Struthio camelus: one gene and its partners. The protein of the gene in region 2 interacts with the protein of the main gene of each other region in a pairwise test. Links are inferred from orthologs where the notes say so. Each region holds a gene or a part of one and is shown on either strand. Other genes may lie near its edges.

Region 1 (7,501 bases), on a different chromosome or scaffold from region 2:
ATGCAAATCAAGGGTGTGAAAACGCTGGAAGAGTCTTTCCAGAGTTGTGGCAACAGCTTTTGTGACAGGCATTGTAGCAAAAAAGACGCAGAAGAAATGGCTTAAAGGCTTATAATTTGGATGCAGACAAAGTGCTCCAGCTCAGGAGCCTTTCTGGGATCTAGCAGAGCAATCTAGCAGAGCTGTGTAGATGTAGCTGAGGACCAGTGTCAGACGGGTTGGCATGTTGTTTGAGTAACGTGTTACCTTCTAGTTCCAGACTTAATTCTGCTTATTTATGGCATAGTAACTATTGAAATTGCCATTCCTGAAATCTGGAAGTGTATAATTTTCAAAAACAAACCCGACCATTGTGGGTTGTCTTGTCTGGACTTCTAAATAGTTGAGCTGTAAAGAGAAGAAGCCTGGGGAACAGCGTTGTGTCGGCCTGTGCTCCAAAACGCTGAGGCAGTTGCAATGCATGAGTGAATCGTGAAGACTTTTTTTCAAATTCAGAATAATTCTTGATAACAGAAGTAAACAGAAATCAAAAAAAGAAAAATGCACAAAACCCTATGCAGTTAAGTTACGCCAGAGCTCAAATACTTTGAAAAATCAACAACATCTGAAAGTAGTTTAGATAGTGCTTTTCCTTTGTTTGCATATGCATATAGCGCATTCAAAGAAGGATCTGTTTAATGCATTTAACGTATTTAACAGGTTTCAGCCAATTTAGAAGAGGAGATTAATTGCAGAAAGGTATTGCAAAGAACAGGTTAGTGCTGAACGTAAGGGTAAAAATAAAGTTAAGGAGAGAGGTTTTTAAACAAATAGAAAGTGAAGCTATCCAAATAAACAGTGAGTGATCTAAAGCTGAAAATTTGATTTCATAGTTTTCTCGAGCCAACTGAGCCTTCCGATTAATGGCTTATAAGGCAGTGGATTCAAATTGGACAATTGAAGTTATTACCATCCCTTGCTCTGTACTTACCTTCCTGCCTTGAGGGTTGGGAAATCCACACTATTAGTGAATCAGCTCCTGATTCCCTGCAATTTTCAACCCGCCTCCGAATCACTGAGTGAAGAGCTGAACCAACAGAACGAGTAGACTGACGGACAAAAGAAAAGAAGGAAAAAGTAGGAAAAAAAAAAGAGATGGAACTCTATACTTATGTGCATGAGCCCAAAACAATTGAATACCTACAAAAAGAGGAACCTGGGCAAGAAATGAGTTATACAAATACTTTCCTACACAGTTGAGTCAGTAGGAGGTCTTGCAGATGCTCTTAGGATTTAGTTTCATGCTACACTTAACCCAATCTAACCGTGGGCTGCAGCCAGAAGAGGAGGTATTTACTGCCCCTTTCCCTGCACAGGCTGTGCCACTACCTCTTTTGGAATGAGAACATGATGATCCCTTTCCTTGTCAACCTGCAATTACATTAGCGTTAACATAACATGAAATTTCAGCCTTCTAAAACAAGGACACAAGCAAGGAGTTGTGCCTATTTGCCACCTCATTTGGGACATGCTTCTTCCTCACTCTGCTGTCTGAGCAGTTTTATGTGCTAAGGCACTTCAGTGGAAGAGACAATTTCTTACAGTTTGGAATGCACAGACTTTTACCATTTGGATACTTTTATTGGGAGAAAAACAATAAAAGAGCATGCCCAGTGGCTCCAGGCAGCTTTGGCAAGATCGAAAGCTTCAGGGCTACGACTAAACAAACAAAACATATATTCAATGCAATGGGACTAACAAAGCTAGGACGTAAGTTTATACAACACCACATACAGGTAGATCTCAAGTAAGCTGCTTTTGAGCACTATCCTGATTACACAGCACTTTCTGGAATCATTTCTCATCTTTTCACTTTGTTGTCTGTAACATTACTGCGTGAGCAGCTTAGTCTGATACTAAGATGAAAAGTGTGTTGGAAAGTTCCTTTATCATTCTTCGTCTTCACTCCTCAGGGAAATTTCTAACATATATTTATTTTTTTAATTTAAAAATATATTTTTGCTGTGTTCATGGTAGAAAAAATAGAATATTTTCAAAATTGGGATTATATTGAAGCTGGTTCTGCCACTTTTACCTGAAGCCCGACGTTTAAAGGTATTTTGAAGTAATGACATACAAACAAAGATGAGGGGAAAGCATTCTCCTCCCCTCCGTCTTGCAGCTGTTAACATACTAGTAGAAGAGGCACTGAAAGGCCTCAGAGAGGCAAGCACAGAGAGGCTTGTGGGCTAGCAGTGCATGCTTCATGAGGTTCAGAGCACCCACAGTTGCTTCTGTATTCAAGATCAGGATTATACTTTCTGTCATTACAACAGAAGAGACCAGTGAAACAACATACAAATGAACAGGCTCTTGTGGATCAATGTGAAACATGAGCTTAAAGTATAGACCACTTTCCCAGGTATAGTCGCCAGCGTCCTGGCTTCCTCCTGCTTTTGATATCTAGCAAGAGCTGGAGATGGAAGAGTATCCGATGGTGTGAAAGAGGAACTTGAGCAAGACATTAGCTTATCTGCCACCATTTGCTCTCATGTTACCCTCCGGCTTTGGAAATTGTGCAATTACTTCCTATTCCATGGCTTTTACTGTCCCAAACAAAGCTTATGAGGGCTCTTGTCCCAGACCACGCTGCACCACAAATATTCTTTCATAATTACATTTCTTTTTCAGCCCATTCTCTGCCTCAGTCTTTTGAATTTTACTGGGAGGAGGCAGTGAATGGTATACATAATTTTGATGTATACAAAATAGAAAGCATTAACATTTTCATCAGAGTTGATCAATTGTTAAGTTGCTCCATGGAGAGATAATAATTCACAAAGATGCTATTGCTGACCACAAGAAAGTTGAAGACATATTTAGTGAGTCTGCTCATGAAGAAAATGAAAACACAGCAGAAAGTAAATAGAACAGCTTGCATAATGTTTACAGTCTCCTACACTGTTTACAGAATTTGCTTAATGATATGTATGCAAGAATAAAAATAATCACAGTATATTCTGTAGAGGTCTGCATGCAATAAATCCAGCCAGTGCAACTGTTTAGAAAAGCTCCAAGGTGGTAATGCCTCTTGAACCCAGAACACAGCATAGAGGGCCCTACGGGTCTCAGTGATGACCCTTCCTTATCTTACAGAGCAAAGAAGAGGCAAAGTCTTTTCCTGCCTCTTCAAAGACTCCTGACAGGGTCCTTCCAATGCTACTGATCCCTCAGGTGGTTTCTGAGGTGAGCGGAATGACTTCCCCATTCATATTTAATTTCTTTGCCCTTTTATTAAACATCATTACAATCTATGCATAACTTTCCTAAGATACCCAGATGCATATAAAACACCCAACTGCACACAGCCTAGTGTCTCCTATGAATTCTTATCCGATCATTAGGACAGCAAGGGGTAAGTTGTCTTGACCTCAGTAACTTTGTGCAGCACAGCCAGATGGGCAAAACTATTAAGTGCCATAGTCACTAAATCATTTCATCATGAAGCAAATCTGTGAACCCTTTTAGATTTCAATGCTGTAATAGTATCTGTATGCACAGTGACAAATCCAGAGGAAAAGCCAATCTTCCTTGCAAAACCAATGGATCATTTCATCCACACATGACCTATACAGTCGTAGACGTGAACTGGTATTTAGATTTTTTTTTTTAATTTAATTTTTTAAATTTGCGATTATCAGTTGGGAAACAGCACTAAAAGTTCAGGCAGGGGGGTTTGTTTGTTTAACTACCCTCTCTAACATGTTTCTTCAGCTGATACCTCCGCTCTTGCAAAGGCTAACGGACCTGCTAGTTCCTCTATAACCAGGAAACTCCCAGTGCGTTTGCGAGCAGACTCCCTGCCTGAAGGCGTCTGCCTTCCCGAGTCACTGACATCAGGAATGATACCAGAGGCCTGTCCCTCGTATAGTTTAACGTGCCACGAGCTGGATAAGAACCCCCGGGACTAGCCCTTCAGCAGCTCCTAGGTGCCCCAGCAGACCCGCTTGCCGCGGTCCTCTGCTGTTTCCGCTCTTTGCTGGTCCGTCCGCCTTTCCTTCCAGGGGGGCGGCACGCACCCGAGGCGGGAAGTCAGGCCGGGCTGCAACACGCAACCCCGGCCCAGCCGCCGCCAAGCAGCCCCAGGCACGGGGAAAGACCTTCCGGAGCAGCCCGAAATTACCACTGAAGCATCTTTACTGCTTGCAGCTATGGTTTCACCTTGTTTTAATTCCGCCCCAGCCACGTCAGCTTGGGTGCGGTAACATCACCGTTCTTCCGCCGCCGGCCGCAACAGGAAAACCCGGCGGGCGCCCAGTGGCGGGGGGCCGGCAGGACGGGCAGCGCCGCTCCCCCCCCCGCCGCCCCGGCCCCGGCCCCAACGGCCGCCGCCCCGGCCCCAACGGCCGCCGCCACTTCTGCGGCGGCCGGAAGTCCCTCCCGTCCCCTCCCCGCCCCTGGCGGAAGTGACGCGTGCTGCCGTGCCCTCCCCCCCTGGCGGCGGCGGCGGCGGCGGCGGCGGCTCGGGAGCCGGGCGCGGCTGGCGGCGGCCCGAGGCGCGGCGCGGCGGGCGGGATCATGGCGGACGGCGTGGACCACATCGACATCTACGCCGATGTGGGAGAGGAGTTCAACCAGGTACGCGCGGCCGCGCCGGGCCCCTCCCCTCCGCTCCGCGCCGCGCCGCCTGCAGGGCCCTCGGCGCCGCGGTGGGGCCGGGCCGGGCCGGGTCGGGCCTGGCGGCGCCATTGTTCGGCCGGCTCCGCGCTGAGGCTTTGCCGCGGCGGCCGGGCCCGATGGCGCCGTCGCTGTGCCCCTCGCCGCGCCGCGCGGATGGGGCTCGGCCGGCGCCGCGGCCAGGCCGCGTTTCGGGCCCGGCCCGCGGCGGGGACAGCAGGGGAAGGCAGGGCCGCGCCGCCGTCTCGGAGGGGAAGCGGGCGCCGAGCATGGAGGGAGGGAGGGAGCGGCTGCCTTCCCGCCCTCCCTCCGCCAGTGGCCGCGCAGCAGCGGAGCAAAATCCCGCTCCCGCCGCAAGAGGAGGAGGCCGTCAGAGACGGGACCCTCCCGGATGTGGTGGGGAGAGTGGCTCCCTCCCGGCGGCGGAGGGGAAATACTGCCATTGTTCGCCCATGAGTTTTTAAAAGAAAAAAAAAAAAAGAAGTCGCCGTGCGGGAGCCGTTTCTCGGCCGCTCTTTGCGGGGGAGGTTGAACTACTGCGGCTCTATTACGCAGGAGAGGAGAAACTGTCTTCTTTTCACTCTTTCTTCTCGCCTGCTCCTTAGAAAAGACATTACTTCCCTCCTCTACAGGAGGAGCTCCCTTTTGGTGAGGAAGTGGTGTTGGAATAAACAGGACTTCCCTGGCTTACAAGTAGCCGATTCCTCTGCTTCCTTTTTTCCTCGTATCTCTCCCAAAAAGTAACATTCCTACTTTCCCGCTGAAATCTGATGTTTGAATCAGATTTGCGTGCCATCTGTCGTGTTTGCAACCATGCCACTTCTCTAGGTTGTGTTGCCCCAGATTGCGTTGTTCCTGCCCTAGAACGTAAATAACCAAGCACGGCTTTGCTTCCACAGATTTACCAGGCTTACTGAGTGAGGCCCAGCGCTCTGCCTGCCTGCCTGCCCTACAGAGAACTGAGAGACAATAGGTTGTGGAAGTCGCAGTTAATTTGGATAGCAACTCATAAGTGTCTCAGGAAACTTGAATTCTTTAGGTATTTATTGATAAAGTAATTCAGAAGATTAGCAGTCTCACAAAGGTATACCATTTAGGAATGTTGGATCAGATGAGCAGACAAGGGAGAGAACTGAATTATTCTCTTAGTTTGCTCTTAGATTGTCTAGAGGTGAAGATTTCACTCTTACAATTGAAAGTTCATTATATGAAACTAAATTAGGGTAACCCAAGCACAAATACCATTTTATCGTAAGAGTACATCTGTTCAGTTTCTTTATTAACTTTTTTTTATCAGTTCCAAGTAGGATATTGATAGCTAATTAAGTAATTCAGAACAATTAATTGAATCCAGTAGTGCTGGTGTAAATTCACGAGTGCAGAAGCCCTCAAAGTTGAATAATTTATGGCTGCGAGTATAGTGCAGATAGATACTGCCAGAGCAAAACTGATGGGGATATTCTGTTTCGTGCAATATAACAACGTTCTCCTGGTCTGCTCAGATACTGGCTGATTTTGACATTCTCTGTAGCTGTGTTACTAGGGAGGATGATTTTACAGATGAAGAGAGTCTAGTGATAGTCTAGCTGATGCAGCAGTCAGGAACACCTTTTGGTCTTTTTGCTGCACCCACCCCTGTTGCCTTCCTGCTGGGGCTGTGTTTCTGCACTGTTACTTCCCCTGTTTGTGACTCTGGCAGAACACAGAGCAGAAGAATAAGAAGGAATTGGTGCCCCTTTTCCCTTAGCGTCTCTCTTTTATTTGCAAGATTTTGCTGCTTAGTCTTTTCAAAGTTTGATTTTCATGACTTGCATGTTGTCTCGGACCTGCTCGGTTGAACAGTATTACTTTAAAATAGAAAGCGATAGTGGGAGACATTGACACCTCTGCACTTTCCCCGTTTTGTTCTGTCAAGCATGAAGGAAGGCTGATTGTTGCTTTGTACAGTATTGCTTGCTGCCTCTAATTCTGACATTGTTGTGATGGGTCTTTTTAAAAACTGTTTCTGGTGATTTTTGATTTGAACCTTACAGCTTAAATTGATAAGACAGAGAGTTGACTAATGCTGTAGGGAGAAAGTGATTAGCATTATTAATCTGTTTACATAGCAAACGTTTTACAGGGTGCTGTATTTGTAAAGAAAGCTTGCTATATGTGTAAAGCAGTAAACGATTGTTCTTGGATTGGGTGGTGCTAGGTTAATTTGATTCATGAATACTCATTTGAGTTGGTCTACAGGAACCATTTCCACTAGTTTTGCCAGTAGCAGGGACTGAAAATACACTATTCTGGCTTTGTCATTCTTCTGAAGTGCAGAATAACTGTATTTTTACCCAGGCCAGGAAAAAACTTTTCCTTACATCCGTGGTGTTTCAAATAGGTCTGTAAGGACTTGTGATTGGATGAGTTTCCCTCCATTGCTTTGTCCTGTTCTGGGCATCAAGATGCTCCTCTTGGGTCTCTTCTGGGATTTTTATAGGCATCCTTCTAGGAGAAGGGATGTTCCGCTTGATTATTGCTATATGAGTCACAGGTAAGAAGGGTGAAATACAGACCAGAGAGCCCCAGGTTTACCAGCTGGCTAAACTGGATGAACGTGAGAACTGACGAGGGTGGTATTGGTGCTGGTTACCGTGATCTGGCTGGCGCAACTTGAAGTCAAATCTTTTTCCTTTAGTGAAAGCACATCCTTTCCATTCCATCTGGTGCTCATCAAAACTACATGCCTATGTTGCCTTTCACCTTTCATCAACTTGCCGTTCATCATATGTATATTCTTTATCCTTATGTTTACAGCTCTTAATCAATTTGGCTCCTACGGATTTTATTTATTTATTTATTATGC
Region 2 (7,693 bases):
GCAAATCATAGGTAAAACTTACACACACAGAGCCCACACTTGTCCATCCTTAAGCACGTGATTACAGTTTACACTAGTATTTCTGAAATACTGCTGAGTGTCAGCAAGAAGCAATGATCCCTTGTAATCAGAGTATTAGAATCAGGACTTTCTGCAGCACTTTCAGCCAAAGCAGTGTTATACTTGAAACGTCAGTCTGGGGCACAAGAATTATGGATCATGAAAACAGACAAATTATGCCTGAGTTTCTGTGGTTAAACTGAACTTTCCCAGTTCTGGGTCCCAGATGAACGGTTTCTTTTTAAAGAAACCTCATGAAACCTTGGGGCCCGATTGTGCCAGCGGGGCTGCACAAGGAGCTCCTGCTGAGGCAGTGGGGCTTTGCGCAGGGACAAGTCACTGTTCCGAAAGAACATTTTAATGGTAAAACTTCAATTCAAAATAAGTAGGAAAGGAAATAGTTTATTACCAAGTATTTTTTCCACAGTCTAAATAATATTAGTGAAAGTAGCAGTTTAATGGTGCGTCATCATCACTAAATCGTTACAGGCCAACAGATAAAACTAGGGGAAGCTTTTTGCTTGATCTAGGAGCAAAAAACATTACATTTAAAGGGGAAAAAAGAGACATCAAAAATGACTCTTCAGAGATTAGCAAACATTTGAATGTTATAGAGGAAGAAAGAGGGCCCACCTTCCTAATTCAAAACTGGACACCCTGGTGAATGCCATCTTCCTTAGCTTCCTGAAAGAACAATTTCAATAACTTTCGGGATTATATTAATCAGCATGAGAGGTGGCTGCATAAGTTATCTCAAGGCATTATCAAGATTCATTGCAACATGCCTATGATCACCAAGTACTAGACATTTTTCCATTTCTACTTTCCCTCTCCATAAAACGATATATTATCCATAATGGTTATGCAAATCCACACCATTAGCATAAAGAAGCAGAGAGATGAAATCAAACATCACCACCAAGTTATCAATTGTCTTCTGCCCTGACTCACATTGCATGCGTCTATTCAATTAAGCTTCTTGAGAATTAAAGGTCTTCAGCTCTGCACATATGCGTGTAATCATTACTCCACCCTATTTTGGCAGTCTTGCACCACTCTTCTGCTTAATCACTCAGCTGTGCGGAAGGAGGACCAGACAGTAGCACCAGAGCTCTTCCGAGAACACGGACAAGACAGAGGGCCCTTCACCCGTTCTCTTCAGCAAGGCACCCTCATTTTGCCTCAAAAAGGTCACACCTACCTCAGGTACAGCAAACCCAAATGCAGCCATTCTCATCTCTAAATCAAAAGGCACCTCTGCAGACTGTGGATCAAGACAGAACAATGTGCGCCATGACCTGTAGTTTCCAGAGGTTCTAGTTAAAAAACTAACTGTAAGGCACACTGCAGAGGGCACTTGGGCTGCTGTCCATCCTTACTTTACAACCTGCTCATCAGAGAGCAAAGCAACCTAAATAGCTTACCACAACCTAAGTTACTTCAAGCTGTGGTTAGCTAATTACATAGCACAGGTTTGTTCTCATACTGTAATTGTGTTTTACTACGAGGAACAACATTCCTTAACACCTCTGTAACGCTTTGAAGATGAAAACCCTTTTACTCCATGCAGTCCTTTTCAGAGGGGGGAGTAGAGGTTCTGGCCTCTTTCACCTGAAAGTTAAATGAGCTCCACTAGGTCTCTCAGTAAAAATTTCAGCAGCTTTTGACTCAAGCTGTCAAGCCGCGTTGTCCCGGTCCCAGAATGCCAGTCTTTAGAACAGTCCTGGTCATGGATCACCATCTTATACACTTCTTGTCAATCATGTCTCTGCTTTAAAATAAAACACAATTATGGCAGATCTTCGAAGTTCAACCCAACAGTTTTGTAGCCACCGGTTTCAGTGTTTAACACCCCCAAACACACAAGCAAGTAACAGAACAAATGAATACAAAGAACCTCTGTTTTCCAGCTGAATTTCTACAGAACGCAGCTGTATATTTTTTACATATTTTCTCTTCCAGACAATGATTAGTAACTTACTCTCTGAACATGCCCATTAAGACCTTAATCCTTAGAGCGCCGGGAGAGTATTAGTCTATTAACTCCCCACTGAAACCCACACTAGTTACTGTGCCAACATAGGGTAAGGCTGTACTAGGAATTTTTTCAAAAAAAGGACAGTTCTCCACCAGTTACTACTTTCCTTGTTTGTTCCTGAAAAATAAACTAGAAACAAAACATGTTCTAGTCTCTGATGGGAAATCATAAGAAGCCAGTTCCAGTTATCTCCCGCAACGCACGGTCACCAGCACGTCAACCGCTTAAGATGCACGCAGGAGTTGGCTACCTTTACTGCTACTGCCACACGCTTGCGGGATTCTATAACTAAAGGTTGCAATCAGTTTCCATCAAAATTCACCCTTTTCCAACACATACAGCTCTTGAAGCAGGCATTCACTTTCTATATGGAAGTGTTTCACACAGCCGGGGGGAGGGGGAAGGAGCGAGTAGCAGATATGGCAGACCAGGAGCTGAAACACAGAAACACTCGTTTGTTTTTGCTATTTAAGAGATTTTTAGACAAATCTGTTTTCCCTCACAAAATAGCGCTTGCTCACCCCTCCTGGCGGCTAGGACTTTCTCTCCCAGCTCGGGAACACAAGCGTTACAGAGAGCACCAGGATCTCGGCACAGGCTCCCCCCCAGGCGGCCCCGGCGCCCTGCGGCAGCGGTGAGGGCCGGGGCAGCCACGGCTCCTTACGTGCTTGAGGCAGCGCTCCTTGAGCTTCTCCACCGTGGTGTCCTCCGAGACCTCCTCCAGCCACTCGGCGCCCTCCACGGTGCACACATGGAGCCTCAGCACCTTCCCGGCGAAGATCTTCTCCTCCTGCACGAACATGGCCCCGGGCCCCGCCGCCGCCGCGCAGGCCCCGCGCCCCGCGCTACCGCCCGCCCATGAAGGTGACCCCCCGGGAGGCCGGCGGGGAGCCCGGCCGGGCCCCGCTGGGACAGAGGCAGCGCGCTGGGCGCCCCCGGCGCTGCTGCTGCTGCTGCTGCTGCCGCCGCCCGCGGCGCTCGGCCCCGGCCCGGCCGCGGCTCCTGTCACCGCCTCGGCACCGGCGCTCCCGCGGGCGGGCCGGCCGGGGCGCTCCGCCGCGGCCGGAAGCGGAAGGGGCGGTGACGCCGCCGCCGCGCGGCACGCCGGGAGTTGTAGTTTTCTGCCTCGCCGCTCGGAGGGCGGGGCAACAAAGGCTGCGCCGGAAGTGAAGGCCGCAACGGGCTCGGGGGCCGGAAGGGGGGGTTCCTCTGAGACGTGCTTTTTTTTTTTGGTTTGTTTGTTTCTTTCCGCTGTTTAGTCATTCTTGCCGAGCGCGCCCGGTATGTGGCGGCTCGGCCTATTTCTAAAAAAAAAAAAAAAAAGTGGGAGGTGCGGTCCGTCCCGCCGCCGCAGGGCACGCCGGGAGCTGTAGTCCGCTTGCCGCGGTGCACGCCGGGAGCTGTAGTCCGCGTGCCGCGGTGCACGCCGGGAGCTGTAGTGCGGGCGGGCCGGGGCCCGGCGGCGGGGTGGGCGGACGAAATTCTCCGTTCGGCCTTTAGAGGGAGACAATGAACTGTGTTTAGGGCCGGGGGGCCGGGGCGGGGGGGGGGGGGGGGACCGACGAATTCCTCACGGCATGTGGGTTTTTTGTTTTTAAGGACAAAAACGCCGTTTCCCTGCCGCTGGTGGCCGGGTTAGGGCAGGGATGGGACGAGGGAGGCGGCTGGGCCTCGCCGCTGGGGCCTGCGCCCCCCACCCCGGGCCTCGGGCCTGGTCCCTGCCCGGGGAAGGGCAGCTCGCCCCAGGGGCCTCCAAACCGGCAGGCGCTCCTGTCCGCGCGCTGCTGGCGCCCGTGCACGGAGGGACCCGAAGGGCGTTCGGGCCCGTACACGGCTACGTCCCATCCTGCTGCCCCCCTCTAATGAGGGTCTTCTACGTCCAGGCCCAAGAGGCCCGTCCAGGCTCGCTGCCGTACCCCGGGCCCTTCCGCGGGTTCGTGGGCGCAGAAGGGCGCCGGCGCGCCATTTTCCTGGGAATATGTGCTGATGTTCAAGACTAATTGGTAGCAAAGTGCCGGTCACAAGCTTTCCACCCACTTACTGAGTCAATATATATATATATTGGTTTGCTTTGCCTTCCCAGATTACTGCCTGCAGCCCGAGAGTCTGATTTTTCATGTTCAATGTACTGTTAAAAGGAGCCTGAAGTGAAAAAAGGGCATTGCAGATATAGCTGCTGTTTATTTATGTATGTATTAAACAGGGCTGTACTTGGCTGGAAAATATGAGGAATATGTCATCGTTTCATCTCTGAGAGTGAGCGCTGTAATATTCATGTTACACACTCAGCCTGGAGTTGGTTGAAAGGCAGATAAAGCTCCCTGGGAGAAATAAATCCAGACAAAATCAGAAGACCCAGAGACATTAGCAGCAATACAGCGTTACGCGAAATGGAACTGAGAGCTCCGGAGAATTAAAATTTGATCACCCCAAAAAGCAGATTTAGCTTGGGTCATCACCAAAGAAGTAAGTGCTACTCAAGCCCCGACCCACGGCGGCTGCTCGGAGATGCCCGCTTATACCCTGCAACGTCGGCGACTGCTAGCCGTCATCCTGGAGAGCCTCACGCGCGGTTCCCCGACAGGAAGGCAGCTCGTCCCTTCCTGCAAACCTCACTGGCGTGCCGCAGCCCTTGCAGCTCCTTGGGCGCCAGCTCCGAGGGACCACGAGAAGGAGCACATTCCCCCTTGGCGAACCTCTTGCCCCCACCCATCGACGCCGGGAGAGCCTGGCAGCGATGGCCCTTGTGATGGTGCCCTCGCCGGGCCAGTCCCTCACCGTGCCGGTGCCCCCCGCCGCAGCGCTGGAGCAACCATGATCTCTGTGGCCAGCCCTCGGGGCAGTCCCGCGGCCGCCCAGGGACACCACGTCCCAGGCGGTGGCCTTCCCGGTGACGCTGAGCTCCGGCTGCTCACCCACCGCGCGGCTGCTCTGCAGTCCTTGCAAGATCCGCTGCGGCTGCCAGAAAGAGGCCGAGCTCCCCGCAGCAGCCGTCAGGCTCGTTTTCATTCTCATTGCTGGCGTTAGCTGTTCAGTGGGGCTTTTACTGCTTCACTGGGGGAGCCGAAAGGCTGCCTGCCAACTCGGGAAGGCGACGCTCTGTGACCCCGGCAGCCGGCGTCCCTGGGGGGAAGAGCAACAATAACGTTTTGTTAGGAGATATTTTAAAACAGCAAAGAAACACTCAGGTGATTTCCAAGGCAGGCTGAATTCAGCTGTGAGCTCTTAGTGCGTGGAGGATGCATGGATGTTACATAGCCATAAAGCAGGCTCTTGGCAGTCCTTACTGCAAGTGGAAGCAATATTTGGAGATGAATCTGGAACTGCTGCAGAAAAAAAAGAGATTTCTCCTGGACGGCCGTATCTTGCATCTAAACAGTACTTACCTAACACAAGTGGAATACTTTATTTTTGTGCTTTCAGTGCGGCTCCTGTGTGCTTGATAAAATGTACCCATAAAACTGCAAATACAAGGCAATTTGACTACTGATGGCTAATGCATCATAACGGCTAAGGAAATGTGGGCATTAAAAAATATCCCATTTAAACGCAGGGCATTACCTGCTTTACTTGCACTATAGCAGAATAAATAAACAATGCATGTTTGTTATGTTAATATTGTCCAAAGCCAAAAGAATGAGTGCACAATGTGTTACTGGCTTTTCATGACTGATACATTATGCCCAGAGACCAATGTGTGAATGAGAGAAGGTGGAAATCAACATCTCTTTTCTTCTGAGAAATGGCTTCTATTGTTTTATGCCTCCAGTTGAATTATTTTATGTGATTGCATCTAGCAGCAGGTATCTCCTGGATTACTGAGAACAATGCAAGTCCCACTGCAAAACTCCCACTGATTTAATGATTGCAGGCCTTGGCCTGAGGGCTGCTCTGCATTTACAGTGGGGAAAGCAGACTGGCTAGAGGGGGGCACGAAGCTCAGTCCAAACCCCTTTGCAGCGTGCAAGCCTTGCTGGGTTGTGCCCTAGCTGGGGGGCAGAGGAACCGAAGAGGAGATGTCGGGGAGCAGGCTGCAGCTCCTCGAATGCTCGGTACAAATCAGAGCAGTTTTGGGGCTACTCTCACCCCTGCAAGCTGCCTGTGGCCCTCTAGGGAGGTCGCACATCCAAGGACTCCTCCGCAAGCGGCTGTGCTCCGGCTGTGCCTTCTCCTGGGCCCCGTTTCTTCTATTGCAAGTCCTTCAAGGAGCTTGTTCCAGCCCAGCTAGCGCTGGAGGAGCAAGGATCCTCCAGCTCAGGGAAGGCTCCACCAGGAACCTTTGAACAAACCCATAATCTCTTTTGAATTGTCTGAGAGTGGGAGGAATGAAAGGGAGTGGAGATTACCCCCTCCCCCTCCGCCTTTGCCTGGGCACTCTCAGGATTTATCGAGACAGCTCCTGGGGGATGCTACATCATGTCATCCAAGACTCTGGTATTGACTCTTCTCCTGCTGCTGCTGAGTGAAGAAATATGATAGTGGGAAGGATAATGAAGCAGACGTGTTTTCTTCAAACCAAAGTGATTCTTTCTTAAGATGGGATAAAAGGGTAAAGAACTTTCCCTTCACAATATTTTTCTCGGTAATGTGTTTTGACAATTTAATTTAGAAGTCATAGAGTAGCGAAGACAAAGTCACCTGGTGGGTGGACATTGGAGAGTTCAGTTGCCTTTGTGATGAATTGGTGATAGTACAGAGATGACAAAACAACACAGGGGGACAAGGAGGAGGCTGGCAGCACTGTCGGCAACATGCACAGGATAAATTGAACACTACACTTCATCCAGGATCTTCAATAGTCCCAGGCATCCCAATATAATTTATGAATTGCAATTAGCATTTTATTACGGCTAGCACTTGAGCTGTGTACCTATCGCTTTGGGTCAGCTTTTGCAGAAGTTACAAGGTAAAGTTTGTGTAAATTTAAAATACCTATTCATTTAAATTGAAGCAATAAATATGTCCTGGAAGTTGCTTTCCTGCTGCTCGGCTGCAGAGGTTAAGAGTGTGAATTCCTTGCAGAGGCTCCCCCGGGCACAGGGGAGCGCTGGACCACGTCGTGCTTCTCCTTCCCCCGGCTCCGGGCAGCGCGGGCCTGCGGCCGTCTTGCGTTCGGCAAGCTGTTCCACGGGCGCCGGGGCACCCTGCGCGGTGCTGCTAGGAGAGCAGCCAAGGGAAGCAACAGGATCCGTCTGCGCCCAGCAGCTCCAGCCTGGGATGTTCGCAGGGCCGCGAGGGCACCGGGCTCGTGGCCGATTCCCGACTGCGGGCGCGTGCTCATCTGTGTCCGATTTAACTCCCGAGCCGCTCCGAGAGCCCCCTGACTGTGCTCCAAATTACTCCGTCAGCTGTTATAAATATAGACAGCGTTTTGCGGGGATATTCATGCAATTCTATCAGTGCTTACCCCGGCTGGTAATGGCCCTGTTTAAGCACGGGCTCTATACGGGGCTTGCCAGCCTCTCCAAACGCGAGTCTATTATCTCGCTTAACTGCTCTATCAGTGCGGCGCTGGGCTCTCCGCCGCAGCTCCCCATGGCCAGGGACGGTATTAGGTGCCGCTACCTGCGAGCGTTCAAAAGAAAGTCCCAACCT
Region 3 (7,185 bases), on a different chromosome or scaffold from region 2:
TTGGAGAACACTGAAAGGAAAGAAGGAAGGAAGGATTAATTTCTGCAAGATGTTTATGGGAATTTGTCCTTACCTACCTCATTTGATTCATAATTCTTCTTGTAAGGAATTAGGAGAGAGAAGGAGTGATCCCAGAATATTGACTGGAAAGAAAAGACCAACAGAGATACTTAGTCTTTTCTATGTCTACAGAAAAAGAAAGCGGTCAAGGAACGTGAGGCTCTCAGTTTTGAAGAGTCAGGTGGTGAGGAGGGTCCCCTAGGAATAGGGGTGAAGGACATTAAAACACAGATGGAAAGTGTATTTCCTTGTAGAGAGAGAGAACTTGAAGCGACACAGAACTCCTGTCCTGAAAGGGAAGGGAAAAAAAAAAAAGAAACAAACACTGGAAAGGACTATATTCCTTTTCAGTACCTTAGTAAATGATGATGGATTTGGTCTTGCTGTTGACAGATCTACAGGGGGTACCTGTGTTGGCAGTGTACCTTGCATTTTGCACTTTGGGAAATACTAACAATTTTCTTAACTACAGCCAGTTCCTAACTGGCCAGTCAGGACTGGACTGGTGCATAGACTGGTATTCCCCTTCTTAGTCTACAGGTGAGGTCAACCTCAAGGTAAAAAGATTTTACCTGATCAACCATGTACACTGCCCAGCTTTCCTCAGCCCGAGGTAAAGGATCGGGCAGTTTCGCACCTCCTCAAAATATTTACGAGCGTGGAGGGGAAACAAAGCAGGCAATCACAGTTTCAGTGATCTAATTCTGTGCTGTTTACCAGGGTATACAGCTATCTGTGGGATGGATGCTGACACACCAGCAAGCATGGGAATGCTCAGGGTTCAGCACCTTCGAAGAAAGTTACAAAGCCTTAAAGCACAGAGCAGCAAGCGAGGCTCCAGCTCAGAGCTGCAGCACCAAGAGCTGCAGGGGTTCTTTAACATTCAGCAAGGATTTGCCTAAAAAGTCAGTGCGTATGCTGTCAGAATCTCACCATCCTTCAGCCTGTCAGTGAACTTTGCCTAGGCTTCATCCAGATCAATTTATAATCAGGCATAAAAGATTTGAGAGGAAAACTAGTATACGATGCAAAGTGCAACAGAAAAGGCAAAAAGCTGCTTTTTTTTTTTTGACATCTGTAAGAAAGATCCCTGAGCAGATTTTAAATAAAATACCTCTGAAATTTTTCAGTTTATGTCCCAAATCTTCCCAGGAGAACTTCTGAAAGGATTCAGGGCACGTATGAATGATTTCTCTACGTTTTAGGGACTTATGTAGGGGCTTTCAATGTTTAATCCAGGCAAGCAGTGGATTAACTGCTTTCAGCTGAGAGTCTGCCAGCTGACAACCTTTCCCTGCACACATGGCATTTGATGTCTGCCATTTTAATATTTTGACATTTTTGTGAAAGACATCGTCCTGAAAGGTCACCACTTGTCTGAGCAGTTGGCTGGCTGCCATTCAGCCTTGGGAAGCTTAGCTTCACCAGCTGCCATCAAAAATGACCATTTTCATAGCTAAGTTTCAGGGAAGCTATGAATTTCTGTTTGTCTATGAGGAAAAAAGGAGATACAAGAGGAAGAGCAGCCGCCCCAAACCACCTTTCAGTTGTTGCAATGAAGACCCATTTCTATGTAAACATCTGTAAGATGAGAATGAAGTTTTGCAAAAGTGGCTTCTAAACAACAGATTGGTCAAATATACCTGTGTTGTAACAGCGGTATCAAGGGGGTTATACCACAAGTATGTTGAGCCCTGTACTTGCAGCAACAAATACAACATAAATAGTTGCTTCCAAATCAGTTCATGACAGTCACCTGTTAACTGTGATAATGGCATTTTCACATGCCTCATAAAACGCTTGCAGTACCATCACGGTCCCCAAGAAATAACAAATCCTGTAAATAAAGCAAGAAATGTGACACAGCAACTCAAACAAATTGGCTACAGCCTCCATTTCTTGTGCAATTATCTGACATTTGCACTCGGTACTGATTACAGAGTGTTTCCAATAAGCACATTTCATTCACAGCATAATAAGAGCTCACCAGCTATAAACTCAGTAAGACAATGGCACTACAGAAGTTTTGAATTAGAAAGAAGGCTCTAAAAATCAAGATCCTGTTTCTACAGTGCCATGAGACTAAAAAACAGTAACAAATACCAATTCTCTTCTGTACGGTATCATCGCAACACTGAGAAGCCTGCCACTCCACTGCTTTCTGACCACCATACTATCCTGCCTTCATGCCATAGAGCAGATAAAGATCCTCTTCATGTACAGAGTGAGAGACTGGTGAAAAACATGCATCGCTCACCGTGCTATGTTCATTGTTCTTATCAGCTCAGATGCAGGCTTACTGGTCCCCCTTAGGATGACATTTTGTTTGTGCTTCTAATCATAAGGTACTGTCGAGTTTCTTAATTAGAAGTCCAGTTCTGCGTTTATGGATTTTTCAAGAAAAGATTCCAGGTGAAAAAAACACGGTAGATTTCTCTCCTGTGTGTTCACAAGCAGTCTATTAATGCTGAAGGAGCTTTCTCACTGTGTATCTCGTATTATCTAAACGGAAAACCATCTATCTAGAAACGCTCCCTGCATTTGCTTGACTTCTCCCCTCGCAGACGAAGCGGCAAACAGACATCCCAAAAATCAGCGAACACAACTGCAAACTATTTGTTTGTATGCCTTTCTCTCAGTAGCTCTTGCACTGAAAGCCAAAACAGTACTGCAGAGCAGCACTCCCTGCGAGAACGAGTTCAGCTTTCATCTCTCCGCCGTCTCAGCCAGAACACTGAGGTAGAAACCTTAATTAGCAATCTGAAAGCAGCACATAGGCAAGGAATACTTACATTTGCAATGTGTTTGTGATATTTGCTCGCTGATCCAGTGACTGCTGATTACAAAGAGAAAGAGCTTTTTAGGCTGCCTTTCAAGCCTAGTAGCAGTGAAAAGGAGGCTGTCGTCTGAAAGCTACTCGTTTTCTATATGCTGTGCTCTACTTGCTTCCCATGTGCATACAACACAGCTGCCAGATTTAATAACCATGTCAGCCTACTTTCCCCATAAAGCTGCAGAGAGATGACAGAATAAAGATGAAGTAGCCAGCACATTAATCTGTAGTTATGGCCGCACTAAGCCTTGAATGAATGTCACAGTTTTATTGCCCTTGAAGAAAAAAATAAATCAACACTATTTGTCTGTTGAAGGAACTATGCAAAAGGATTTCAGAAATGTTTATTCATACTTGCCCCAGTGACATTTTAATACATTAAAGAAATTGCTCATTTATTCCTCAGTTAAAAAATCCTAAATCTCAAGTTAATTCTCTTTTTAGTACCTCCTCATCTTTCAGCATACATTTTTCCTGGGAGTGTATACTTGTACCCAAAAAGAACAAAACCATTAACTGACAAATTAATCAAGATTCACTCCTTCCCCGTTCCGCTCGGGAAGGAAGCATTTCCATACCTGCCTTTGCTGATTTCTTTCGGGGGGGGGGGGAAAAAAAGTTTAAAATGGGGAAAACTCTCATTTACCATTTCAATTGTCCCAAGCACAGTGGTTCCTAGAGCACTGGAGTTCAGTATTTGCTGTGGTCAGGCTCAGTTCACTGCCAAGGTAGAGCTTTTCCATACCTCCAGCTGCAAAACCAGCTCCATGTGAGGGAAGTAAGAGCAAAGTTTACATGACAGGAGGATGGTGCTGGTCACACAATCAAAAACTACAAACTGAAAATAAACCCAGAAACGTACAGTCGAATTTGTAACAATGTAGGGATGCCACAGAGATCATATAACATCTGTGCGTGTCTTTTCGCTCTCATTTATATTCCCTTCACTTCCCTTGGAGGCACCTGCCTCAGCGGGGAGCCGTTTCTGTGGAAACTACGGACAGGCCGTTTTCCCCCTGAGAAACCGTTCCTATGGCAACCTTACATAATGTATATGGCCTAGATTCTTTTCTAAAATAATGTAACGCCACAATTCTAATTACAAAATCAAGAGCTGATCTGATTTGGGGACAAGAAGTGCAGTTATTTTAAAACTGTATTAGAAAGGTAGGATAAAACCCCCAAATGTTACTACTAATTAAGTAATAGCTTAGGGGGCACTGCCACTGCATCACTCATAAAGACAAAATAATCTGTAAATTCCAGTCAACTAAGTCTATTACTTAGCATTTGTGGGAAGTGAGGAGGAAGGGAGACATTTAGTTGACATTATGGCTCAATGTAGCAATCAATACTGCATATTAAAGTGCAGAGGGTTTTTTCCCATGTATTTATTCTCCCAGCAACAAGGATCTCACTTAATGACATAAACCCACATGCGGCACACATCTACCCCATTCAAAACTGAAATGTCAGCTTCAAAGTCACTCATTAGCAAACTGTGCAACCTTAAAATGTGAGGAAGTGCCTGAAAGGAGCTGTACGAGTCAGTGAGGCACAGAATGCAGCGGAGCAGAAACAGCAAAGGCACATTGCTGTTCACATGACTTTCTTCTCAGCTCAGAGGAGACAAACCTGCCCGCATCCACTGTGGGGATCTACCAGATCATATTTGGAAGAAGGGACAGTTAGAGCCCTGGTCATGGCGTTGTGCAGCCTGGGGGTGGGGGGTTGCCTTGAAGTCAGCAGCTGAAGACCTGCCTGGGTTGGATTTGACATGAAATGGTAGTCACATAACAAATGTTTAGTGACCCTTGTGAAATGGGTAGGCAGATGTCTTCCCTTCCAGCCTGCCCTGCAGACAGTCCCCTTATTGGTAGTACGAATCAAAAGTCTAATAGTGTGGAAGGCTGAGCTACCTACTTACATCTGCACAAAATCAAGTGATTTCAGTTTGAAGAATGGTGTTGGGGAAACTCGAGTAAAAACCTGCTTCTGAGGTATCTATGCTGTGACTCAGTGGATAAAGATCTCTCCTGATCTGTCAATCTAGCAAATTTTATTGGAATAAAATATATTAATATATATGGAGTCTGATTTTTCTCCTCTACTCCTATACAGAAGATGAACAGAGAAGAACACTCTGCCCACAGAACATTTCCTCAACACTTAGGCAAAGTCTTCGTGAACTCCACTGTGCAGCAGGGCTCTCCAGATCGGACAAGGCAGGCCGGAAGCACTGCCTCAAAACCTACAGTGCTTATGTTCCTTTCCTGTGTAGTGGAGACACTTTTACAAAGGAGACTTATGCTCTCTGAAGGCAAAGGGTTATTTAGGATGCTGCTTCTCAGAGCTGGTGCTCAAGAACCAAGACCAAGGTTTCACAACAAGCTGCTGGTGCCACAAGCGACAGAACAAGGGATGTTCCATAATCCAAAATCCCCCAAAGGGGTTTTCCTGTATTGGGGAAAGTTTGAGCTTTAAATTAAACAAGAAAATCCCTCTACAAATTGCACTGAATACCCAAAGTGATCTATAAAGTAAGTCTATTTAGACAAACAAGCAGATCAGTACATCTTGAATTGGTCCTTTTTGTCTGCAAAACTCAAGTGTTCCAAGAGGATGTGAAAGCATCAAACATTTTATCTCTTTTACACTTTAAAACAAGGAGATCTGGTGCACGGTGTTAACTCCAATTGGATTTGAGAAAGTTCACCACCACCAGCGCACCCTCTATACCTTCGAGGACTGGAACTTTTATGATTTAATCAAACATCACACACCAAGTCAAAGGTTACACAGGAGTCAGACGTCCCTGACTTCAGATCTTTGAACCACAACTCTCATGTTCTATCCACTGGACATACAAAACACAGCGTATCACTAATAATCTTTTGCCTTCTCAAACTAAACAATGGAAATTAGAAAACATTTTCAATAACATTTCTATATCCACTTTGAAATGAACCTTATATACACAATTACACTATAATTAGACAATGTCTAATGAAATACATACTTAGTAGCCTTAGGAAGAGAAAAGCAGGAATATTCCTATAAATTATATTCCATATAATATTCCAAGAAAAGCAGGAAAAGTTTTCTTGAGGAGATCAGAAAGAGCTGAGCTGTCACTAAAACTTGTGTAGTTCTGATAGTTTTCCTAGGTAAAACCTTGAACTTCAAAGAGTACATTGCGCAAAGACAGCAACAGGGACAAATTGATAAATTAATATTATAACAAGAGAAGGTAAAGAAATGAAGTTAATAATTTACTAACAAATAGAAAGAAAGATATGCCATAGAGTGAGAAAATTCAGCTACTTTTTATAGCTGTACCAACTCTCCCAACATGGTTTATCAGCTTGAGCACAGCAAAAGCTGACATAGCTGCATGGCTTCTGGACCGAGCTAAGTAACATCTAGCCAGCTCAGCATGGAACCAGCTTCAACTTGAATTCATCTCCATTTACGTCTGTAAATATATTCCATGTATTCAGTTCATAGGCACTTTCTGCTTCCTCAAGCATAGAATAGGCTGTTTGGGCATCAGGCTGAGGAGTGGCCATCTCACTAGGTATCAGTATATCTCCAGTAAGAGATGGCCGGCCTTAGTCCCTGCACTTAGGATCTTGCCCAAGTTCAGCCAAGGAGATAGTCATTACGGGGATTAAAACTAATCTGATTTCATCTAGCCTAGAACACAGGAAACAGATCAAAGGTGGATTTCTGCCTTGGTTTCTCATGGCTTTCAATTTCATTTAACTCTCCCCACTGCAGGCCTGCCTACTTCTTTCCTTGTTTTAGAAGCAGAAATCATTGCCAAGGCTCTGGCAGCCAGGCCCAAAAATAGTGACAAATAGTGTAAGCTGATCTGGCAGGCTTCATTGAAGGCAAATTAAACACTGACAGTCCCCAAGGTTTTTGTGATATGATTGCATGACATGGCCAATGAACTAGTCACTCCCTAGGGTGAGGTGCAGAGATGATGTTCAAATGCCTGGAGAGTGGAACATAGACTGTTTTATGAAATTACACATTATTACAATGTGACATGCAAAGCATTATCTCTATGCAAGGTGCTTCACCTCAGATAAACCCTGTGAGTAGCTAAATACAAGTCGTCTTATTCCTAAGAGGGCTGCATGATGTAGAAAAATAGAGAGACCTGCATAAGGCCAAAGTGGGAACTTAAATCGTTCAGCCCTGAACTCAGGACTTCATCTTTTTTCTTATGCAATGTCCATAGCTCTCATCTTATTTAAAATTATTTTTTGCAAGACTTATTTGAG
Region 4 (7,956 bases), on a different chromosome or scaffold from region 2:
CTAGAGTATCAAAAGGCCCAGTGCAAGGCTGTGAAACTTTGCACAGTGTTGGTGCTAGAGATGAAAAACTCAGATTAAAGCTGTAAATCATGCAGTTCTGTAACTAAAGCTGTCCCTGCAAGTCTACTAGTCCTAAAGAAATAAGGTCCCACTGTGCAGTTAGCACTGTACACTCCTATGGTATGGTACCTGGGAACCTGTACAGCAACGTACCAGAGAGCTTAAGATTTGCATCTTCAGAGCAACGGGACTCAGACACATCCCCCCCTCACCTACCAAACAGGTCGTGGGGAGAAAAGCTCTTACTCCACTCTCAATCAGGTAGCACAAGGCAGGAGGCGGCCACTTTCTAAGCAAGTGTGTAAAGTCTAGTCTAGTCACCTTGCGGGGGACACCTGCTTTCCCTTCCAGTGCTACTGCTGGAAGCCTTCTGCAGTGGCTCCAAGGATGTATCTATCTAGATGGCAGAAATCATATGACAAAAAAATCATCATAAGAAAGATTAGAGAAAAGCAAGGAAACAATTGCCTACTCATAGGTTTTAGCATTAAGACTACCTGTCCCTTTAGCTACCAAGGCAGTTAGTCATTGCTTTTTGGCTTGCTGGCTGAAATAAAGAAAAAAAAAAAAAATCAATCTGCTGTCTTGTATTAAAGGCAATAGGTTTAAAGAGAGACACAAGAAGAGCCCCTGTGAAAGGGGCATAAAAATTGAGTTACACTCCTACAGCACTCAGCCTTACGCTTCAATAACAAAAATAAGTGTACAGCAGCAATAGTATTACAAATTAAAAAAAAAAATCAGAGATTGCAAATCAGTGATTGAATCACAATATTTCATTTAAGGAATTGAACTTGGCTTGAAAAGCATTAAGAAAGATGACGAGAAATTTTGACTTTTTTTGTATGACAGCTGTTTCTGCTTAAGTATCTTTCAAAAAGTTTAATTAAGATATTAGAAGAAATTAAAAGATAATGCTTTATGTCTTCATGCAAGATGAAAAGAAAACTATTCAAGCCAGATGTAAGTACAAATGGCAGTTACCTGATCAACTGCCACACAGGGATTCAAATAGAGAGTTCAGAGTCGCAGAGCCAGCAGATCTGCGAGATGATTATTGTTTTAGGCTATTTTTTCAATTCCAAATGAACAAGGACCACTACATTGATTAGCTCGCACTGATTTCTTCATAAGCATGCTAAAAGTTAGCTAAAACTCTTAAATCTCAGAGTGCTTCAGTGCTGCATGTTTCATGAAAATATGCAAACCTTCCTCCAGTCATTTGCTGGAACAAGTGTAATTCCAAAGGCAGAAACACAGATCAGAGATTTTTATTATATAAACGCTGTGTATATTAGCACTTCCCATGTTTGCTCTCTCACCACGCTGAGCTAGCGTTCAAATCAATAGAGAGAGAAACAGAGGAAGAGAGCGAAGGAGGAGTATCTCTTACACAGACAGATCCCTCAACTCTGAGGACAGCTGTGTTTTGGGTTTCTTTCTTGCAGTAGCTCCCACAGCAGATGCCTGAAATGTCAAGATGTCCAAATGGCACCAAGTGTTTCCGTAACAAGACATGAGGTCAGAGGAGAAGAGCAAGCTTATATCCATATTTTCTGATCAGCTCTAGAGCCCACTCATTTTTCCCTTTTTAAACAAAAATACACAGGGTAACATACGTGAAAGGAGCGGATCGAGAGAGCATATGAACGCAAGCACAGGAAAACGTTACCTTGGTCCTTTCCGCTGTGGGGGCAAAGCTGCCGACACGAGCGTAGCAGGCAGCTGTTAATCAACAAGCCACACTCAGAGCAGGCCCCTGAGCAGGGACCGGAGCCCGCAGCCCCCAGCACAGGTACCTGGCCAGGAGGGGAGCCTCGGAGAGGGGCTGCAACCCACCCCCAGCCCCCTCACCCTGCTCGGGCTGACTGTCCAGCAGGACCAGGTCCCCCAACAGGGCAGGGAGAAGCCAGGGGAGGCAGGGGTGACACAAGGGACCCCAGGGCCTCATGGAGGTGGGGTAGGGGAGGGGCAACACAAGGGACCCCAGGGCCTCACAGGGGCAGGAGAGGTGACACAAGAGTCCCCAGGGCCTTGCTGGCAGGGGGGACACAGAAGGGACCCCGGGTCCCCACAGGGGGGTGACACAAGAGACCCTAGGGCCTCATCAGCAGGGGGACAACACAGAAGGGACCTCAGGCCCCCAAGGGGGGGGGACAACACAAGGGTCTCCGGGGCCCCATGTGGGGGGGAGGAACAGAAGGGTCCCCGGGGGCTCATTGGCAGGGGGGGTGACACAAGGGTCCCTAAGGCCCCATGGGGGTGGGGTGGGGTGACACAAGGGTCCCCGGGGCCTCATCAGCAGGAGGGGACACAGAAGGGTCCCCGGGGCCCCAGCGGGGTGTGTGTGTGTGTGTGGGGGGGGGTGACACAAGGGTCCCCGGGGCCCCACGGGTGGGTGGGGGGGGATGACACAAGGGACGCCTCTAACTCCCCGGGGGCGAGGGCACAGGGGCTCAGCTACCTCACGGGCGGAGAGCGGAAGCATGGGGGGGGGGGGGTCTGACCGACGGACCGGGCCGAGGGGTCGCGGGTAGCGGCCCCGGAGCCCCCGCCCAAGGTCAGAGGGGAGGCGGGAGCCCCCGAGCACCCGGCAACGCGCCCCTCCCTCCCCCCCCCCGCCGCGCTTCCTTCCCCCCTCCTCCTTCCTCCGCCAGGCAGGCAGGCAGGCGCGGGCCGGAGGAAAGGGGGGGGGGCGGCGCGGCCCCGCAGCCGGTACTCACCGGGCCGGGCCGGGTCGCGCCGCTCCGCCCCGCCCGACCCCCGCTTCATTTAGCCGCCGCTGCCCGGCTCCTTCCGGCCTGCGCGCGCCACGTGACCGCGCCGCCCCGCACCATAGAGAAGAGGCCGGGAGAGCGGAGGGGGGAGGAGAACGGCGAGAGAAAGAAGGCGGCTGGAGCGGTCCCGTCGCGGCAAACCTACCATAGAGGCGGTGCGGCGGTCCTCCAAGCGGCCTTGCTCCGCCCCCCTTCCGTCCTTTAAATGGTTTCGAGGGAAGGGGCGGGGCCTGGAAGGAAGGGGCGGGGCGAGGAAAGGGGCGGGGCGAGGGGCGGTACGTGCTTCGCTAGGGGAGGGGGCAGGCGTGTGTTCTGCCGAGGGGGGGCAGGTGTCCTATGGGGGGGGGGGGGGAGTAGGTCCCCTATGGGGGTGCTGTGCCAAGGGGGGGTGCAGGTGCCCTATGGGAGCGCGGGTGCCCTATGGGGGTGCTGTGCCAAGGGGGTGCAGGTGCCCTATGGGAGCGCGGGTGCCCTATGGGGGTGCTGTGCCAAGGGGGGGGTGCAGGTGCCCTATGGGAGCGCGGGTGCCCTATGGGGGTGCTGTGCCAAGGGGGTGCAGGTGCCCTATGGGGGTGCTGTGCCAAGGGGGGGGTGCAGGTGCCCTATGGGAGCGCGGGTGCCCTATGGGGGTGCTGTGCCAAGGAGGGGTGCAGGTGCCCTATGGGAGCGCGGGTGCCCTATGGGGGTGCTGTGCCAAGGGGGTGCAGGTGCCCTATGGGAGCGCGGGTGCCCTATGGGGGTGCTGTGCCAAGGGGGGGGTGCAGGTGCCCTATGGGAGCGCGGGTGCCCTATGGGGGTGCTGTGCCAAGGGGGTGCAGGTGCCCTATGGGAGCGCGGGTGCCCTATGGGGGTGCTGTGCCAAGGGGGTGCAGGTGCCCTATGGGAGCGCGGGTGCCCTATGGGGGTGCTGTGCCAAGGAGGGGTGCAGGTGCTCTATGGGAGCGCGGGTGCCCTATGGGGGTGCTGTGCCAAGGAGGGGTGCAGGTGCCCTATGGGGGTGCTGTGCCAAGGGGGGGGTGCAGGTGCCCTATGGGAGCGCGGGTGCCCTATGGGGGTGCTGTGCCAAGGAGGGGTGCAGGTGCCCTATGGGAGCGCGGGTGCCCTATGGGGGTGCTGTGCCAAGGGGGTGCAGGTGCCCTATGGGAGCGCGGGTGCCCTATGGGGGTGCTGTGCCAAGGGGGGGGTGCAGGTGCCCTATGGGAGCGCGGGTGCCCTATGGGGGTGCTGTGCCAAGGGGGTGCAGGTGCCCTATGGGAGCGCGGGTGCCCTATGGGGGTGCTGTGCCAAGGGGGTGCAGGTGCCCTATGGGAGCGCGGGTGCCCTATGGGGGTGCTGTGCCAAGGAGGGGTGCAGGTGCTCTATGGGAGCGCGGGTGCCCTATGGGGGTGCTGTGCCAAGGAGGGGTGCAGGTGCCCTATGGGGGTGCTGTGCCAAGGGGGGGGTGCAGGTGCCCTATGGGAGCTCCCTGGTGGGGGGGGTGCAGAACCCCTCCGGAGCACCCCGCGGAGGCGGCCCGGCTGGGACAGACTGCACCGGCCGGGGCAATAAACGCGGCGACGGCTGGCGCGTCGGGCCGCCCTGCGGCACCCTGCCTGGCACCCGCCGCCTCGCCGAGCCCCTTCCCAAGAGGCTGAATGAAGCTGAGCCGATTTTGCAACACACCCCGTTTCTGAGCCAGAAGAGGGTCCCTGTCATTGCTGGCAACCACGGGCGGCACGCGAGCGCGCCCAAGCGCGAAGGGGCGCGATGGAGCCGGCGCTTCGCGGCGGGGCTCACGCGACGCCCGCGCCGGCCGCTTTCGGTCTGGCCGCGAGCACAGCGACGCAGAGCGCCAGGCAGCGACCTCGGCCGAGGAGGGAGATGTTTGCACGCGTTAATCGCTGAACGGGAGTTATTAGTCACGGCCTGTATTCCCCTCTGCCGCGGGAGGCCGGGACGTGGAGAGCTGCCGAGGGCTGAGAAGGGGCACAAAAGGACGAGAAAAGATGCAAAGGGGCGAGAAGGGGCACCAGGGCATGAGAGGGATGCAAAGCGGTAAGAAGAGACAGAAAGGGACCAGAAGAGACAAAAACAGGACAAGACAAGACGCCAAATGACAAGAAGAGCTGCAAAAGGAGAAGAGGAGAGGCCGAAGCACCAGCCGGCCCCGCCGGGCGGCTGCCCCGGCTCCAAGGAGCGTCGACTCGCCCCGAGCCAGCCGCGGCCAGGGCCCTGCAGCCGTCATCGCTTTGCCCGGGACTCATCCGGCACAAATTCCCGCGTGGCGTTTTGCGGTGACACTGCACGGAGTCCCCTCCTGAGGGTGACGCGGGGCAGCCCGGCCCCGGCGCTCGCAGCCCTCGGCGTGTGGGCGGCAGAGCATCCCCGGGGCTGGAGACGCGCATGGCCGTGTCGTGCCCGGCGCCGAGCGCTGTCGTTAGTCCCGGCGCGCTCGTGGTGCGAGTCGGTGCTGGGGGAGGCATCGCCCACCCGACGGGCCGGCACGGTGCCCTTTGGGGCATCATGCGCCGCGCCGGCTCGGTAACCACAAGATGGGGCTGCGAGATCAGCGTCGCCGGACGCGTCGGCCGGATGCAACGCAGGCGGGAATCGCATCGCTGGATGTGTCGTCCCGGTGCAAAGCAGGCGGGAGGTGCAACACTGGACATGTTGTCCTTGTGCAATGCAGGCGGGAAGTGCAACGCTGGACGTGTCGTCCTTGTGCAACACAGGCGGGAATCGCATCGCTGGACGTGTCGTCCTTGTGCAACGCAGGCGGGAATCGCATCGCTGGACATGTCCCAGTGCAAAGCAGGCAGGAAGTGCAACGCTGGACGTGTCGTCCCGGTGCAACGCAGGCGGGAATTGCATCGCTGGACATGTTGTCCCAGTGCAACACAGGCAGGAAGTGCAATGCTGGACGTGTTGTCCCGGTGCAACGCAGGCGGGAATCGCAACACTGGATGTGTCGTCCTTGTGCAACGCAGGCGGGAATTGCATTGCTGGACATGTCGTCCCGGTGCAACGCAGGCGGGAATTGCAGCTACGGGGGCCAGCGCGGGGTGCAGCCGGACATTGGGGTGATTGGAGAGCAGGAGAGGAGGGTCGGGCACGCAGTGCGGCTTCTCCCTTGGCTGCACGGGCACGTACGCCACGCTCACCTTATCTGCAAAGCCCCAAATGCTTGAGCCCCGTTCAGCCCCCGCGCAGGCACCCACGGGCCATTTCAGAGCCAGGCCAACGGAGCAGGGACGGCGGCGGGAGGCAGCGCCGGGGACGGAGCCGGCTGGCGAGCCCCAGCCCCGGGCGCTACGCGGGCGCAGGCAGCAGCTCCGGTGCCGCAGGGTTTCGGCTGCGGTGGCGCGGGACCTCCGCCTGACCCTGCGGCAAGGCACGCGGCGAAGCGCCTCGTCTGCCGCCGGAGCCGGACTTGCCCGATCTGGCCGTATTTCTGGTGCTTCCGGCCATTTCTGGAGAACGGAAAACACATTAACTGCCTGAAATCAGGGTCCAGTCATTGCAGCCGTGGGATGCGCCACCTCCTTCCCTCTTTTTACATGCAGCACCAGCCCACCCGCCCCCAGCGAAACGCTGCTCATTTGCGTGTTGCTCTGTACGTGCCTCTAATTAGTCCCAAAGCCCTGCGAGCCGCCAGCTGTGATGGCACCCCAGCTGTGCTCGGTGCTGCACGGCCACCGCGGGACTCCCCAGCTCCGAGCGACGGGGCCAGGAGCCCCCGCGGCCGCCGCTTGCCCCTGGCCACCCGGCTTTGCTGCAGGGCAGAAGAGGGATGAGGGGAGGATGGGGCCGTGCTGCTGGGGCCCAGCGTGGGACCGGGCAGTGAGCAACCAGACTTCTGCGTCCTGCCCGGCTGCTGCTGCTGCCATGGCTGCTGCTGCTGGGAATTCCTGGTGATTTCTGGGGATGCTGGATCTAGAACTTTTCTAGGTGCTTCCCAGATCTAGAACCCTCCTAGGGTAGCTTCGCTCTAGAGCCTGGCTAGGACTTAATTCCTGGCATGCACTAGTGTTCCTAAACCAAGCACTTTTATAGGAAACCCCAGATCTAGAACCTTTGCTCAGGAACTCCTGCAACTAGAACATGTCTAGGCAATTCCAAGGTCCTCTTTGCTCTAGAGTACTTCCAGGATTCCCCAGCACCAGAACACTTTCAGAAAGGCTCAGACCTAGAACAGTTCTAGGTTCATTGGTCTAGAGCAGTCCTAGCTGCCCTGATCTAGCATGATTCTAGGCTCGCTGATCTAGAATGGTCATAAACTCATCGTCCCAGAACATTGTCAGGATTTCCCAGATCTGGAACAGTTTCCATGACTTCCACTGCTCTAGAACCCTTCTAGGAATTTCCAAACCAGGAGCATTCCCCGGATCCTCAGTCTAGAACCTTCTCAAGACCCCCGCCCCCCTGATTTAGACTGTACCAACCCAGAACCATTCTTGACTCACTGGCACGAAATGATTCTAGACTCCCTGGTCTAGAGCAGTTCTGGACTCAACAGCCCAGAATCTAGACTGCTTCCCAGTTCGCCAGTCCAGACCTGTTCTAGACTAATTGGCCTAGACCAGTTCTAGGTCCAGCAATCTAGAACCCTACCAAGATGTCCTCAGTCTTGAACCTTTCCAAGAATTTTGCTACACTATAACCTTTCCACAAATCCCACCGCGCTAGAATCCTAAATGTAGTGCTCCACTCTAGAACCCTTCCAGGAATTCCACATGTACACCCCCCCCTCCCCAAATCTAGAATGTTTCCAGGATCTTCCCTGCTTTAGAACCTCCCTCCAAACACCCTTTCTGGAACAGATCTAGACCTCCTGCAGATTCCACACCCCCCACTCCAGATCTAGAACACCTCCAGAGGCCTCCCCAGATCGAGAGCCTTTCCAGGGAACACATGTACACACACACACACACACACACACGTTCCATCCCACCACCTCCATCAGGAACCTCCTTGGGTTCCCCCGCTCAAGACCCCAGCAGAATTAAAGGAGGGAGGCCGGAAGCACCCTCTGCAGAGCCTCCTGCCAGACCGATGCCCACCGCCGGGAGGTGGCACCCGCCAGACCCGCACCCCCGTCCCCCCAGGAGCTCCTGGAGCTGCCAGAGCAGCAATTAAACCT

Evidence for each region.
Region 1: the proteins of UBAC1 (region 2) and CPSF6 interact in a two-hybrid assay, tested with the Homo sapiens proteins (2 studies listed by BioGRID and IntAct). The link is inferred for Struthio camelus from reciprocal best matches to the Homo sapiens genes UBAC1 and CPSF6.
Region 3: the proteins of UBAC1 (region 2) and TRIM2 interact in binary tests that used the Homo sapiens proteins (3 or more experiments, as listed by UniProt). The link is inferred for Struthio camelus from reciprocal best matches to the Homo sapiens genes UBAC1 and TRIM2.
Region 4: the proteins of UBAC1 (region 2) and RNF216 interact in binary tests that used the Homo sapiens proteins (3 or more experiments, as listed by UniProt). The link is inferred for Struthio camelus from reciprocal best matches to the Homo sapiens genes UBAC1 and RNF216.

Annotation. Positions count from the first base shown.
Region 1 is NC_090942.1:40,603,162-40,610,662, forward strand, and holds the start of CPSF6 (cleavage and polyadenylation specificity factor subunit 6), read left to right. Parts: upstream 1-4,494; 5' UTR 4,495-4,557; coding exon 4,558-4,617; intron 4,618-7,501. UniProt on the Homo sapiens protein: Component of the cleavage factor Im (CFIm) complex that functions as an activator of the pre-mRNA 3'-end cleavage and polyadenylation processing required for the maturation of pre-mRNA into functional mRNAs.
Region 2 is NC_090961.1:3,270,549-3,278,241, forward strand, and holds the start of UBAC1 (ubiquitin-associated domain-containing protein 1), read right to left. Parts: upstream 3,001-7,693; 5' UTR 2,901-3,000; coding exon 2,763-2,900; intron 1-2,762.
Region 3 is NC_090945.1:38,644,169-38,651,353, reverse strand, and holds the start of TRIM2 (tripartite motif-containing protein 2), read right to left. Parts: upstream 3,017-7,185; 5' UTR 2,853-3,016; intron 2,847-2,852; exon of another isoform or gene 2,318-2,846; intron 144-2,317; exon of another isoform or gene 78-143; intron 1-77. UniProt on the Homo sapiens protein: UBE2D1-dependent E3 ubiquitin-protein ligase that mediates the ubiquitination of NEFL and of phosphorylated BCL2L11. Plays a neuroprotective function. May play a role in neuronal rapid ischemic tolerance.
Region 4 is NC_090956.1:4,718,913-4,726,868, reverse strand, and holds the start of RNF216 (E3 ubiquitin-protein ligase RNF216), read right to left. Parts: upstream 3,007-7,956; 5' UTR 2,983-3,006; intron 2,922-2,982; exon of another isoform or gene 2,784-2,921; intron 1,786-2,783; exon of another isoform or gene 1,733-1,785; intron 1-1,732.